Linked DNA regions of Danio rerio. The protein of the gene in region 3 purifies or fractionates together with the protein of the main gene of each other region. This does not show direct contact. Links are inferred from orthologs where the notes say so. Each region holds a gene or a part of one and is shown on either strand. Other genes may lie near its edges.

Region 1 (3,569 bases), on a different chromosome or scaffold from region 3:
TATAACGAAAAGACAAATGATTTCAGAACCCAAAAATGAATATGTCTAACATGTTAATAATACTCCTGAACATTAATAGTTAATTACCAGTATCATGGCTACATGTGAAAAGCGTTCGTAGGTCTGGCAGATGTAGGCAAGCCCCGTATCATCCAAGAGGATCTTCTGCAGGATAAACGTGGCCACCTGAAGGAAGAAAAGAGGAAATACACATCAAATGCATCTGAATAATGCACGTACACTCATAACTTGTCAAGTTATGTCATGTAATGAGATTACCGTTTTGGAGAGCTCGCTGCCGGACTCCATTATGCGCAGACAGAGAGGAATTATTTCTGTGGTTAACAGAAAGTTGATGACTTCCTGCTCGTCTGTTTTCACCAGTGCGCCTATAAGACAAACGCATCTCTGGCTTATTTATCAGGCTTACACAATTACATCCCAAAAAATTATTCAATACAGGATTTAGAAGAAACACATTTATAAAAGTAAATGCAAATCAAATATACTAAATAAATCAATTAATGAATAAAAAACTAGGTCAATAACGTGGTTACTAATCACCTGACATATTCAATAAAACAAAAATATGATGCATTGATAAAACTTTTTTTTAAATATACCTTTTTTATTACTTGTGAATGGTAAATTCATATATGAAAGTAAATCTGTTTTACTTATTTATTTAATTTTTTAGCATATTCATCAAAAATCGAATAATGAAATATATTTAAATTGAAAAAAATCAAATGTACTAAATAAAACATACACATTCAAAAATTTACTCAAACTGATTGCACTAATTGTATTTTTGTTTCGTCTGCTACAAAGTATATATATTTTTTAACGAATGGAAAATTCATATTAATTTTTTGGCAAATTTACGTCATTATATAAATATATTAAATTTGTATGTATAAAAAGTATTTTCACCATTTTCACTAATGCTCCTATAAGATGAATACATTTCAGTTCAGTCTTACTTTCATTTTCATCCAAAAACTTAAATATAGATACAGAAATGTCACAAATTGAAACTGCAAAACCACTAAACAAAATAAAAAAAATCAATATATAGATACAAATGCCCTTCCATATTGAAAATATAATTCAAACTGCTTAATTGTATTTTTGTATCGCCTAATGCAAAATACTGTTTTTACTACTTTTATCTTAATTATATTACATATAGTTTATTATATGTATTTCATATTTTTTTATTTTATGTTTTTACCAAATATTAAAGTATTTGGCAATTTACATAATATTATATATCCAGTGCTCAGCATATATACCCCAAACAAATCTCTCATTTAAATGAATATTTTCTATAGGAAGCTTTACAATATTACATTTGTGCATATACATTAGATTAGTGAGTACTGAATCCAAATCTGGAGCTAATCTAATAAAGTGAAACTTACAATAATGGTTCAGAAATTAGTAGCCCAAATTTATATGTTAGAAAATATTATACAAATTAATATACAAAATATATACAATTTTGTTGAAATGTTCTAGTTTGTTATGTTTTTTTTTTGCAATATTTTGCATGAATTTATAAGTAATCTTTCCATTTCTAAAGATGTTATGTGACTAAAATATTATTTTGATAAAACATATCTGTACAATAAATCTGTTTTGTTCAAATGCACTAATATATATTACCAATATTCACTGAGAAATGGATAAAAATATTCATTTTTAAAATGGGCTGTACTCATTTATGCTGAGCACTGTATATATACACACAATATTTTTATAGCTCTTCCAAACAATGATAACATTTCAGTTCAATCTTACTTATATATATTTTTTCTTACCGATGACGCCCAGACTGGTGAGCCGAAGGTACTCGAAGGGCCTGGTTTTACTGACCGTGTGCAGGAACGGGTAGAGAAATAAAGGGATGTGAGCTGCCAGAAAAGCAGAACTGAGGACGAGAAAGAAATCGGAGGATCAGTCAATGTGGCGAATCATTAAAGAGAGCGTGTCGTTTTCTGTGTCTATAAGAAGTGTGTTACCGTGTCTCTACATGTGACGCCACACACTGCAGCAGTGCTAAGGCATTACACACTCGATTAGACTGATGTGCCGTCAGTGTCGGGGGGTTTATGGATGGGTAGATGTTAACAATTTCCTGTAAAAAAAAAAAAAATTAATTATTAATCTCAATTTAGTTAACTTTGCTCTATTTTTTTCTACCTTCTCAAATGAATTCAAACTTTGAACTTGTTTTGATTACAATAAAAGCCTTTGCTATTATTGTTATTTATTACTATTCAATATAAATTCTAATAGTATCTGAATATCTGAAGAACTACTTTAGTGTCAAATGTCAGAAAAGAGCGTTTACAAAAAGTTTTAATTTTCAAAGTGCAGAAAAAAAAACTACTTAAACCCTAAATTTTATTAAAATTCTTTCAAAAAGGGACATATTTGTAACTTATACAGTTATTATCACTCCATTCCATAATTTTTCAAATATCTGAAATAATTCATGTTTTACTAAACAATTGTTTGTCAATTTATTGCTTTAAAATTCATTTTAAATGTCATTTTCATCAAAAAGATTAATCAAAATTGTGTACATTGAATAAAAACATTGAACAAAAAAACCTACATTTACAAATCCCTCTTAATATTACCTAAAATAATTTTGTAATTAATTTTTACTTATTGTATTATTAATTGCATAATGAATTAATTAACCAGATATATATTAAAAAAACATACAGTTATGCCACTTAATATTTATTTATATGTAAAATAATAATAATAATTACACAATTATTCAATTCAATTAATATTTCTTTAAATCAAAAAGAATTGTGTCTAGAATGAAAGAAACTGAAGCAGACCTGCAGTAGAGCTGCTATGGTCCCGCAGGAGTGCCAGAGCATTGGGGCCAGGTCAGTCACAGACTCTCTCTTCTTGCTGAGCTCCAGCAGGGCGTTCTCTCGTGTTTCTGGACTGGACAACTCATTGATCCACTGGTAGATCTTCTCCCGGTCCACCTGCGCCAGACCCGCTGTGCTTACAGTCTGTGAGAGTGAGAGAGCACTTCTTTAGTCATCATATATAAAGTTGAAGACAGATTTATTAGCCCACCATTGATTTTTTTGTTTTGTTCTTTTTTTTTTTAAATATTTCCCAAATTATGTTTAACAGAGCAAAGACATTTTTAAAGTATGTCTGATAATATTTTTTTCTTCAGGAGAAAGTCTGATTTGTTTTATTTCGGCTAGAATAAAAGCAGTTTTTAATTTTTTAAACACCAATTTAAGGACAAAATTATTAGCCCCTTTGAGCTGTATATTTTTTTCAATAGTCTACAGAACAAACCATCATTATTCAATAACTTGCCTAATTACCCTAACCTGCCTAGTCAACCTAATTAACCTAGTTAAGCATTTAAATGCCACTTTAAGCTGTATAGAAGTGTCTTGAAAATATGTAGTAAAATATTATTCACTGTCATCATGGCAAAGATAAAAAAAAATCAGTTATTAGAAATGAATTATTAAAACTATTATGTTTAGAAATGTGTTAAAAACATCTTTTCTCCG
Region 2 (4,166 bases), on a different chromosome or scaffold from region 3:
TCTGTTACTGTGCCTTATGTAATGTCATATTGCAATGGTTTTGAAAATGATATTTCATGGAAGAGAGTTTGGTCATTACCCCACTTTTTAACAAACAAGATGAGAGAAGTTTCTGCTTTCCAGACAAGTGTAATCTTAAAAGACTTCAAAACCAACTCTTCATTTTGCTTAGTGAATCCTGAAATTTCTGTTCATTTATTTTGGAATTGCCCTCATTCACTGACATTTTGGTGTGATGTTCTTGATTTCATAAAAGACGTGAAGGAACATTTTACATATGAAAATGTTGTCTTTGGTTTCCATGAATGTAAAAAGGAAAATATTAATTATTTCTTAAACCTTTTTTTTTTTTGGCCAAATTTCAAGCTTTGAAAGTGTAAACTTTTTTTTTTTTTTGTAAATTTAAAAATGAAATGAAAATGAATTTTGAGTCTATTGAGGGATCAACAAACTTAAAAGCAATACGAACAAGGACTTGACATCTTGGACTAAATGACTAAAAACTCCTGGATTGTTGTTTGATTGATGACATTTGTTGTTAATGTTTTTCAATCATTAATATATATATATATATATATATATATATAACATACATATATATATATATATATATATATATATATATATATATATATATATATATATATATATATATATATATATATATATATATATATATATATATATACATATATACATTAACTGCTATAATTTTAAAAAAATGATTGCAATTAAAATTTGCTGTAATTGTATTTTACATTTAAACTTAAACCAATAGCACCTTTAAATTATAACAATAAACAACATTCTCGACGGATGCTATTGATTATTTCAAGCACTTCTCCTTTCACAAACCGTACTATACGTCTATAGATATTGTCAACGACACATTTTTATCGCCTCATCAAGTAAAAAAAATCATAGATACAAAGCGCATGCGCAGAGTCTGTACGTCGTCAGTCTGGATTCGGATGACTCGAGAGCGCGCAGGGCTGGGTGAACGCGTCCCATCATGCAGCGCGCGCGCCAGTCCTCCCTCACTCGCTCGCTCACCCCCGCAGTAGGAGACTCACATCCAGGGATCGGACTAATGGCGGCCGGCAAATCCGTGCGCTGACACGAAATCCACAACAGCCGCTCAGGTGCCAGCCTATTCGGTTGGGGGCAGGGCGACGTCGCATCGCTAAGCGAACGGTAAAAAAGGGAGGGTAGAGGGGTAACAATCGGCGACTTCTAGCAGGACTTTCCTATTTTTAAACATGGATGAACAGCCCGGAGGAGGAGGAGGTGGTGGTGGAGGAGGAGGAGGAGGAATGGCCGCCCAGAGGCAGCAGCAGCAGCCCGCACCGCAGCAGGGCAACAACAGCATTAATCCTCAGATGAACAGCGCAGGAGGAGCGCCTATGGTTCAGCAACAGCAAGACGAGATGCCCAGGCCCCAGCAGTACACCATCCCGGGGATTTTACACTACATCCAGCACGAATGGGCCCGTTTCGAGATGGAAAGGGCGCATTGGGAAGTGGAGAGGGCCGAGCTCCAGGTAACGTTGTAGACTTTTGGATTTTGCTGACACACTGATTGGAAACCCCAAATCGGGGCATCGACCGACAACTCGTCGGTTGCTTTAATTAAAAGCTTGAGGCTGAATTGCTAAGCATTTTACCATACATCTCGCAAGCTTCCTGTCCACCCTGTTTACACAAAATTTCAACACTAGCAGTTGTGTCAATAAACAAACCTTTCTTCATTTGAAACATGCGAGACATATGTATTTAGCATGCCTATATTGTAAAACAGCAATCTAGTAAGTCGAGTCGCTTACTCGTTCCTAGTGTGGATGTGCTAAGCTAAGCTAACATGACATCGCTGTATTGGCGATAATACGCGACACCCGCTACGATGGATTCAGATTATCTTACCCACGATCACAGAAGCAGATCTAATAGTTGTTTGTTGCGGATTTATTGTGTCACGGGACGCATCTGTCAATGAAAGCCAGCAGACTTTGTCAACTATTCTCTTGTTCTGCCATTTTGTTTTGGTCAATATGGCGTCCGTATGGGTCGCTTTTTTATTGATCCATCCTACTGGGGCTCACTTTCACACCCTGCTTCAATTTTAGTATGTTTTACACACTGCATCTTTTATAAGATTCAAAAGAACATTAAGGGCTTTCTGATCAGCAAAAACTAGTTATCATAAAAATGCTGGATGACAGCGACGGTCACTATTTACGTTCGTTAATGAAACATAACGTTGCATTTAAAGGGAATAGAGTTTGAGGCGAGTTGCGAACACTCTGACTGATATTTGTACTTGTGTTACACATATGACAAACAAACTGTGTTAAACCGGTTTGGAACAACACGAGGGTGTGTAAATGATGACACTGTTCATTTTAGGTTCACTCTCCTTTAAGATCGCTATGAGCAGATAGACTTACTAGTTTAGCTCCTGGTCAGATCAGTATTTTGGATGAATCATTGGCATTTGGATAAGTCTCTTGTCACTATCTTTTTTTGTCATTATTTACTCACCCCTATGTTAATCTCCACCTGTATGACAGACTTTGTATAACACAAAAACACAACACGTTTGACAGAATAACAAACCTTTTAACAGTTGACCTGCATTTGTATTTAGAAAATACCTTTATCAGTTAAATAGTTTGTTTCATGGAGGTGCAGCACACAACATTTAGACAATATTGTTGTTTTTGGCAGTCAAATAATTAACAGGTAACATTCAGTAACGTTTACTTGAGTAAATTATAACCATGGTTTTATTGTTGTAAAAGTGTCATCACCACGTTTTTGTTGCATTGATTACATTTGCATAACTAAAGTTTTACTTCAAAGACTATGGTTAAACTATGGCTTAACCACAGTTTCCATGGTTTTCAGTTTTGTTAGTAAAAAAAAAAGAAGTGTCCGCTTGTTCTTAAAGTATTTTATTTAAAGTTCTGTCATCCTTTGTTCATCTCCTTTTTTTAAACATATTAAGAGTTTCTTTATGTGGAGGCGCAAGCTATTTTGATAAATGTTTTTGTTTTTTTTGCCTATGAAGAATAATGTAAACCGAATGAGTGATGACTGATTTACCAACAAACATTGTCTGTCCTTTTTTCCCCCCATGACTTTTGTATTTTTTGCTCGCCTCTCACTTTGACAGATTTATTTTTGGGTGAAAGAGTGTGTTATGACAGCCAAATCTCCATTCTCCCCGTATTAATGGGTGTAGCTGTCATATGTTCAGCCTACTAGAGATGTGGACGGCAGTGTAGCTTTTGTGAATGAGGAAAGGAGCTGGCAGGACTTGGCATTATGTAAACACAGTCAGTCTTCATTTCAGAGGCTGAGGAGTCTCTTCACTACCCCTGTACAGACTTGTTTTGTGACATACTTTCAGAATGACTCCCACCTCAAAACTAATGTGCACTTTTCATTAGAGGAAGTCAGCCCTCCCACACTCATACCGATGCAGGTCCTAAAAAGAGGGTTGGTCTTGTTTATTTGCTTTGCATTCCATATTTCCGAGGTTCACTTGCCATCTAACCATTAGACGCATACCGTACATACCACAAACGAAATGCTGCAAGTTGAACCAAATCAAATCATGCTGCCAAATATGAGCGCTTTGATTCTCCAGCTTTGCATGCAGATGCTTAAGTCCATTACCAGGTGCTGCTTTTCAGTGCTGGAGACGTTGCTAATGTTATAATGGATAGTGGTTCTGTGCTACTCTGATAGTGTCTGGATCTAATTGATGTGAAACTCTTCCTGTCAGCTTGCTTGGCTAGTAGGCATAGCTCTTAGCAGAGATGTCCTGAGCAGTCACATCAGGAACGGGCCTGATTGCTGTTATCTGGGTTAGCTCAGGGTTTGTAGGTCATGCTAGCACCATCTTCATAGTCATAATGGCTCATTGCACATCTCTAACCAATCCTACATTTGAAACTTTTTTGAATGTCTGTAAATCCTCTTCTCTTTCAAATGGTGAGATACCCAATTTACAGGTCATACTACTGAATTCTACGTATGAATGACTTCCTAGGTCATCTGTGAAAGTATATAGATAGAAGTATTATTTGAGGGACTTTTATGTTGGAAAATCAAAACGATGCTACGTTTTCATACAGTCCCAAGAGTCCCAAACGTCATTGTTC
Region 3 (3,569 bases):
AATAGGTGGTCTGGTCTATATCTATGTGTCCCGGCAAAGATAGACGGGTGTGTGAAATAAGGAACAGAGCATTTTATAACCTGATATAGTGATGAGGAGGTTCAGTCCCTCCAGGACATCCATCTGCTGAAATCTGCGCGAGTTGATCAGTGGATACACTTTACCCTGACCGCTTCTGTCCAGCAGCTTCAGACCATTCTCTGTCCCGACCAGCAGATTCACACCTGACAGAACATACACAGTTAAAACACACACACCCTTCAAGACCTAAAATGCTCACAGACTGTGCTATGGAGCTATTCTGAGAAAACTGTTTATCATGCTTTAGGGGTGTACTGAATTTAAAGTAGAAAAGTTTTGACTGTATATAATAAACTCTCTGTAGGAGTGGATGAAAAAAACGGTACACTGCTCAAAAGGGTATTATGGAGAAATTTGACCTTGTGCCACTTTATTCCACCATGCTTTGTGGTCATATTTTATGCATTTTGGCCAGTGGGTGGCACTGCCATCAAACTAGTCCTCCTGAACGCTCAGGGAATTGGTGCAAAGATAACAAAGTTCATGTCAACACATTAAAATGATACACAGATACAAATATATTTCTTGAAAAAAAACTTCTGTCTGGCAACCCTATGAGTGTAGTATGAGCTTAAAAAGATAAAAACAATTGAACAAGGAGAAAATCGAGAACAGAAATCACTTGTTGCACTAGCACGGCTTAGAAAAATCAGAGAAGAAAGAAAGTTTTGTTTCTAGGAAACTTGCCTGAATTATTTTAGCTAAAATGTGCATTACATTTTAAAGAGTTTGAACTGGAGGGTTTAAAACACTAAAAGAAGAAGGAGGAACAAATAGCCTTGATCTCATCATGTGCCAATTTTCACACACTTCATACACTAACCTCACTACCCTAAAATAATGTAAAAACTTGATTAAAAAGAACTAAAATCAGCAATCAGTAAAATACTTGAATCAGTAAAGTGACTCAAATGGATCAAAGCTACCTGAAATCAATAGACCCTCTTCACTTTTCCAGGTTTCTCAGTAGCGGAAGTTGTCATATTTGCGTAAACTTAATGCAAGGTGAATGGGAGAATACAAGAAATATTTTTTTTTACAATCCTATTTGCTCAAATAATAAAAGATGATCAATGATGGTGTTATCAAGACTTGCAGAAAAAAGAAAAATCTGTGTTAGACAGTTAATGGCAGACAGAAGAGAGAACAATGTCACATTTAGTGTCCATCCATACACTCTGATTACCAATGCCTTGCAGAAAAAGTAGATCTTTTTTTTCTTTATAATGCAAAGATGATTTATTACATACGTAAATGCATAAGAATGCACCTACATAAAAAAAAAAAAAAAAAATTCTAATAATTCTGACTTTAGCTGTATATGAAGAGTTTATTTGCAAAAACAGAAAAACATAACAATTTTTAGAAGTTTTCAGAAATCATGTTTTCACATTGAGTACTGAAGAGTTCAACTGCAAAATACTAGATTTATGAAAAATTCTGGGAACAAAACAAATTTAAAACTCTTCATTTATCACCCTTTTAAAATATTAAGAGCTTGAATAATCATTGCACAGAGATGATGACAATTTTACTGGCCACAGAATGGGTGAAAACACAAACAATAGATATAGCAATACGATTCGACTTATCATCTGCAATAAATGGTTTAAACGGAATGAGATTATCAAGTCAGGACTTTCTGTATGAAATTATCTACAAAATAAATGCAAAAATGAAAGTCTTACAGTTGAAGGTTGAGATGAGCAAAGTGGCAGAAAAGCTAAAACTTAGAGAAACACTGTTACTGTCAAACACTGTTTATTACACTGAGTCAGTTTAATGGTGAAGGGATTGATCCAATAGGCCTATTGATAGTAGGTTTTGGGAAGAAATGTCACGATGCTTTGTAAAAGTATTTTGTAGTATTTTTAAAATACAAAAATACAGTTTTTATTTTTATACACATTTTGGCTGCTGTCGTTTGTAGTTTATTTTAATGCACCTACACTTAAACTAAAAGGTATTTGGCATTTTATTTTAAAATACATTTTAAAGTATTTCTGCCCAACCCTGATAGTAAGAATAGACAGTTGGGATGGCTTTATGAGAAATGTACTTCGTTAGATTGACAAACACACGCATGGCTCTTACCCCAGAGAGCAGCGCAGAGGATCTCAGAGTTAAATCTCTTCTTGTATTTGCGGATTTCAGGAGTGTCACTGACCGGACGTGTGTTTGTGGGATTGACATTGACCATGGAGCCCTTCCTCACCTCCAGCTTTAGCTGCTCAAAACGAGAGCCCAGACCTACAACACCCACAAACCGCACAGCAGAGAGACACTGAGTCATCTGTCAGAAACAGATTCACAGCCATCAAGAAACAGTCACAGGTCTAGGGTGCTGAAATCATTTTCTTGCTCAGATCTTCTGTCTTGTTTTCCAGTAAACATGTAGAAGATTCATTAGAACAAAACATACAGCTATGGGGGAAAATATGTAATGTTATGAGAGAACATAATTTAAATATATGCTGCAATTCAAGTATATATATATATATATATATATTTCTCAAGTAATGTAAGAAAATTTAAATTAATATAGCATTTCCAGTAGATTCATCTGATCAATTTTGATTCTCAACAACAACAAAAAAAGTAAATAAATATTCTCATGTATTCCAATGTATTAAGCTTTACACAAACAGCACTGTTCAAATGTTTGCTTTTTCAAATAATCAATATGTATTAAGAAATTAATATATACATATTCAGCAAATATTTAACATTTATAATGTTACAAATTATGATTATTTTAAATTAGCATCTTCCTTTTGAACTTTCTATCAAATGCGGCTAAAATGATCATGGTTTTCACAAAATACTAAAGAAAACAACAATCTTGAACACTAATCAAAGCATATTAATATGACTTTTGAATGACACTAATTACTTAATGAGACAATAATTATACTTAAAAATCTTTCACATTAGTTTACATCATAAAATTTATCTTAAAAATTAATGTTTGCTAATATTTTTGTTTTTCCTGTAATTGTAAATGCAGTGAACAGAGTACACCCTGTGTTGTTGAACAATAGTGTATCTTAAAGGGGTAGTTCACCCACAAATGATTCTAAAAAATTCAACAAAAATTCTGTCATCTATTACTCATCTTTGACTTGTTTTTAAACCAGTTGGGAGTTTTTTGTTGTTTTGAACACATAAAAAGAGATTCTAAAGAATGTTGGAAACTAGTAAACATTAACATGTGTTGTATGAAAAACAAATACTATGGAAGACAATGGTTACCCATTTCCAACAAGCTTCAAAATATCTTCATTTAGGTTCAACAAAACAGAAACTTAAACAGGAATTTACATTTTTGTGTTAAAAATCCCCTTAAAATCTCCGTACCCAAACTAACCACTTTACCTCCAACAGAAATGTTATCTCCACTACCCCCTGATGGCTGGTACATTCCAAGGTCCACAAAGGTAGTAAAAGAGGATTTTCCAGAGGCCTTGACCAATCCCCTGGACTGATAC
Region 4 (4,169 bases), on a different chromosome or scaffold from region 3:
ACTATCACAGTATTGTGGAAAGTCATTAGAACGAGTATTATTCAGTTATCCATTAATTTTATTGTATTAACATCTACATCTACTCCAACCCTTAACGCAACCATCAAAGTACCGTTAAAAACAGTCATTATGAGTATTGTTCATATTATTTATTTATCTATACATTTTATTGTAATAATGTCTACACCCACTCCAACCCTAAACTCAACCATCACAGTATCATGAAAACAGTCATTATAACGAGTAGTTTTCATTATTTAATCAATTATCCATTCATTTTATTGTATTAACGTCTACTACGCCTACTCCAACCCTAAATTGAACCATCACAGTACCACGAAAACAGTCATTATATTGAGTATTGTTCTTAATATTTATTCAATTATCCATTCATTTTATTGTATTAACGTCTGCGCCTACCGCAACCCTGAACTCAACCATCACAGTACCATAAAAACAGTCATTATAACGAATGTTGTCCGTATTATTTGTTCAATCATCCATTAATTTTATTGTATTAACATCTACGCCTACTCCGACCCTAAACTCAACTATCAAAGTACTGTGAAAAGTCATCATAACGAGTATTGTTCATATTATTTATTCAATTATCCATTCATTTTGTTGTATAAATGTCTACGCCTACCCCGATTCTAAATCCAAACATCACAGTAATGTAAATAAAATATTAAATATTGTTGTACAGTGTCACAAAAATGATGCTATATTGATATACGTTTTCGTAGCTGTATCCTTTTTTTTATTGTTGAATCCAGGAACATGCATAACAGTACATAATTATAAAATACTAAATCAATAAGTGACATTGACAAAAGATACAGTACAATATGGAACAATGGAAATAAGATAAGAGAAATAAAAATGAGAAAACAAACGATAAATTACAAGGATTAATTTAAATTTACTTTTACGAAGAACTTAAAAGCAGAGCATATTTTGAGTTTTTAAAGCTTCTCATTAGTCCCTGAAATCAACTTCTTGTAATTTTCCGTAACGTTATCTTGTTTAATGAAGACCACAAAGGCAGGTTTACTTTTTAGCTGTAGCTCTTCTTGCCTTTTTTAACTTCCCAGGTTCTGCAGGTTGCAATGTTTCAATCTTATATCTTCTAGACTTTACTCTGTCCATCCGACGAGATTTTGCGCTACTTCCGGCCGTACGGAGCTGTATGTTGTTCGAAGCTTCATGGAGCTTTTGGATCCACCAAGCGCCCCCATGTGGCAAACGGCTTTATGGCCTGTAATTAGCGGTCATGAAGTAGTAACGCATGCAGCTAGTCTGGGGTAGGAGTGGATCACTATTTGGCACTTCAGTGTGTATGAGACAGTGCTCGCCTATCTGTACCAGGCAGGAAAACGGGAGAGGGCTTCGGTGGAGACTTCAAGCATCGGGGCGGCTCATTCTTCAGCTTTTCCACCTCCTGGCTCCGGCGACAGCTCGAACGCTCTGATGGAGGCGGAAAGATCCGGAGGGATGGCGGGCGGGACGAGTCAGAGCCCCGCGGGAAGTGGAACTGGGCGCAATCCTAACGGGCCGAAGGCTGTGCTCGGTCCCGCTCCCTCCGCAGTAGCAGCCGCCGCGGCCGGGCCAATGGCCGGATCCTCCCAGTCGCGAGATCAGCAGGACGGGGACGCAGGCCTCTCGCTGCCCGGGATCTTACATTTCATCCAATATGAATGGAGCCGCTTTCAAGCTGAGAAATACCGCTGGGAGGCCGAGCGAGACGAGCTGAGGGTAAAAGCAGCGTTTCTTTAATCACTTGTTTTGGTCTCTTCCTCTAGACGAATTCCTGGAGGAAGAGCACATTTACAGTTAAGACGCAAGGGAAGTCACGACCGCCTGCTGGAATTGTTGTACAGATGTAGGTTGGGGATTACACGAGATTTAAGTGTTCATTTTTTTGCTATTTATTGCAACAATAGCAGATTTAACTGAAATACTGTCCTTTTGTTGAATAGCCATACCCACCTAAGGATGGGAATCGATTCTGTTTACGATTCATATTAACAAATCCAGTTCCGTAGCGCGGTTCTTTTATAGTTTTTTTGAAGGAGAAAAGTAATAACATCAATCATGATACATATTGTATTTACTACTATCAGTAGTCTGTAAACGTTTCATTGTTTGAGAGCTGCACTGAGAAATGCAACATCATAACAGTGTGTAAACAAATAATAAACAAGCAATATTCTGTAACACGATTCATTTTAAAATAATGCAATGACACAGATTAAGTCAATACTTGTATAGAGCGTCTCTTAATATGCAGGTTGTCGTAATAACTATTACAGGTTTTCCTCCATTGGTTTGGCTCTTTTCTTGAAACAGAAATTACATTCCCAAAACAACATGGACAAACCTCCAAACCACTTGGCAGTTGTTCACACCAGAATTGAATTTCTCATTAATTTCATCAAATTGTAAATGTTTAAGTACATCTTTGCAAATTATTAAGTAAAAATAGCCGACATTAAGCACAATTTCCAAGTGAATAGATCTTGTTGATTTAAACTGATTATTCATTCTCAGTCTAATGGTTGTTCTCTTCAAAATGTTTCAGCGTCATTTCATTGTTTGTCATTGAAAGTACAATAGTCTGTTCAAAATTAGTCAAGACCATGAATACCATACAGTAGGTGAATCCTTGGAACTTTTGATTACACTATTACATCTATTTATACTTTTTGCTCTGACATATGGAAGTTACTTTGTGTGTGGTTGATTATTGCAATAAAAAAAGGAGTTACCATTACCCTGGCAGTATGAGTGCAATGTGTGACGTCAAACCTTGGAGGCTACTCTTACCCTAAAATCCTATTTTTTTTTTTTGTTCAGTTTTATACACAATTGTATTCTGTTAGCTAGACAAAAACAGTACAGTAACCATTGTCAATGAAGGACTTGGCTAAGACTGTAAGGTGGACATGAGGGATATTTTAGTGGTCCTTTGCCATAATGACAGAACATCTAAACATTTTGACTTGCAGTGCTTACACAATGCTAAAAGGACGAAGCATTTTGGGGGCACTGACTGTTTAAATGAGAAGGAAATTTAGTTTTGACACATGAGTGAACTGTTTTGGGAAAGGTATGAGCTTTTGCAAGTGAGCCATAGTGTTGTGCTAAACTGTAACACTGTTTTGCCAAATGATCTTAGAATTTTGAGAATGTAATTTCTGTTTCAAGAAATGAGCCAAACCAATGGAGTAAAACTGTAAGTCAAACACAGATTTAGTTTTTGGTACAATTTTAATCGCACGTACTTACACTATGAAATGGAGGAAGAAACTGATCCATGATGAACTGATCCATGTTCTGAAAGTCCTTACTGATCATTCCTTTAACAAACAGCCGATTAATTCTTCTTTGTAAGCATGTAGTTTCCAGAAGCACTCGAACTACTCAAGGCTGGGCTATAATGCTGAGGTTTTATTTTTGGTCAGAGACTGTCAATATTATCCATCTGCACAGCGTGACTTCATTCGACCGGTGTGTGTGTGGCTTTTTTTTCGGTGTTAGTGGGCGGGGCCGCAGGTTTCAAATCTCCCGGGTTTGTGCGCTCAACTAATTGTGTTTCATAGTCGCATCATCGTAAAACACCTAATGATTCGTTATCAAGACGACTCGTTTGAAGCACTGAGTCGACTCTGTTATAGATGAATCAATAGTTTTAAACACTGTACACTTACAGATTTACGCCTTACCTAAATATTACTTCACTTAGAGCCGTGTTACACACTACATAAAAAAGGCCATTTTCAAAAACCCATAATATGGGCTCTTTAAACATTTGGGCACAATAAATTAAACGTTTGCAGCTGAAAGATTTACTACATTTGTACTCAAAACGATACATTGTTATAGAGCTGCACGATTCTGGCTAAAATGAGTATTGCAATTTATTATTATTTTATTTTTTATTTTTTTGCCTAAAATAAAAATCACGATTTTTTCATGATTCTGTAGATTTAAAATAAAGGTTAATGTGACTAGGCTATTATTATTAGTGTTATTCTCAAACAAGAGGTAAAACAGCAATAGGCTTTGTGTAGCTGTACTGTTGGTTAAAATTTAATTTCTGTCTTCATGTGGAATGGTGGACTTGAACAGACTTTTGTCATGGTCATTAATGCTGATGATAATTCTGA

The links.
Region 1: the proteins of mink1 (region 3) and cnot9 purify together in Homo sapiens (affinity purification with mass spectrometry; 3 studies listed by BioGRID and IntAct, with this or other methods). This does not show direct contact. The link is inferred for Danio rerio from reciprocal best matches to the Homo sapiens genes MINK1 and CNOT9.
Region 2: the proteins of mink1 (region 3) and strn3 purify together in Homo sapiens (affinity purification with mass spectrometry; 3 studies listed by BioGRID and IntAct, with this or other methods). This does not show direct contact. The link is inferred for Danio rerio from reciprocal best matches to the Homo sapiens genes MINK1 and STRN3.
Region 4: the proteins of mink1 (region 3) and strn4 purify together in Homo sapiens (affinity purification with mass spectrometry; 3 studies listed by BioGRID and IntAct, with this or other methods). This does not show direct contact. The link is inferred for Danio rerio from reciprocal best matches to the Homo sapiens genes MINK1 and STRN4.

Annotation. Positions count from the first base shown.
Region 1 is NC_133197.1:12,450,086-12,453,654, forward strand, and holds part of cnot9 (CCR4-NOT transcription complex subunit 9), read right to left. Parts: intron 3,045-3,569; coding exon 2,862-3,044; intron 2,141-2,861; coding exon 2,025-2,140; intron 1,934-2,024; coding exon 1,824-1,933; intron 390-1,823; coding exon 280-389; intron 187-279; coding exon 88-186; intron 1-87. UniProt on the Homo sapiens protein: Component of the CCR4-NOT complex which is one of the major cellular mRNA deadenylases and is linked to various cellular processes including bulk mRNA degradation, miRNA-mediated repression, translational repression during translational initiation and general transcription regulation.
Region 2 is NC_133192.1:30,183,882-30,188,047, forward strand, and holds the start of strn3 (striatin-3), read left to right. Parts: upstream 1-1,313; coding exon 1,314-1,541; intron 1,542-1,920; exon of another isoform or gene 1,921-2,050; intron 2,051-4,166. UniProt on the Homo sapiens protein: Calmodulin-binding scaffolding protein which is the center of the striatin-interacting phosphatase and kinase (STRIPAK) complexes.
Region 3 is NC_133180.1:39,216,074-39,219,642, forward strand, and holds part of mink1 (misshapen-like kinase 1), read right to left. Parts: intron 3,569-3,569; coding exon 3,457-3,568; intron 2,332-3,456; coding exon 2,176-2,331; intron 225-2,175; coding exon 81-224; intron 1-80. UniProt on the Homo sapiens protein: Serine/threonine kinase which acts as a negative regulator of Ras-related Rap2-mediated signal transduction to control neuronal structure and AMPA receptor trafficking.
Region 4 is NC_133190.1:13,736,496-13,740,664, forward strand, and holds the start of strn4 (striatin-4), read left to right. Parts: upstream 1-1,332; 5' UTR 1,333-1,470; coding exon 1,471-1,755; intron 1,756-4,169. UniProt on the Homo sapiens protein: Calmodulin-binding scaffolding protein which is the center of the striatin-interacting phosphatase and kinase (STRIPAK) complexes.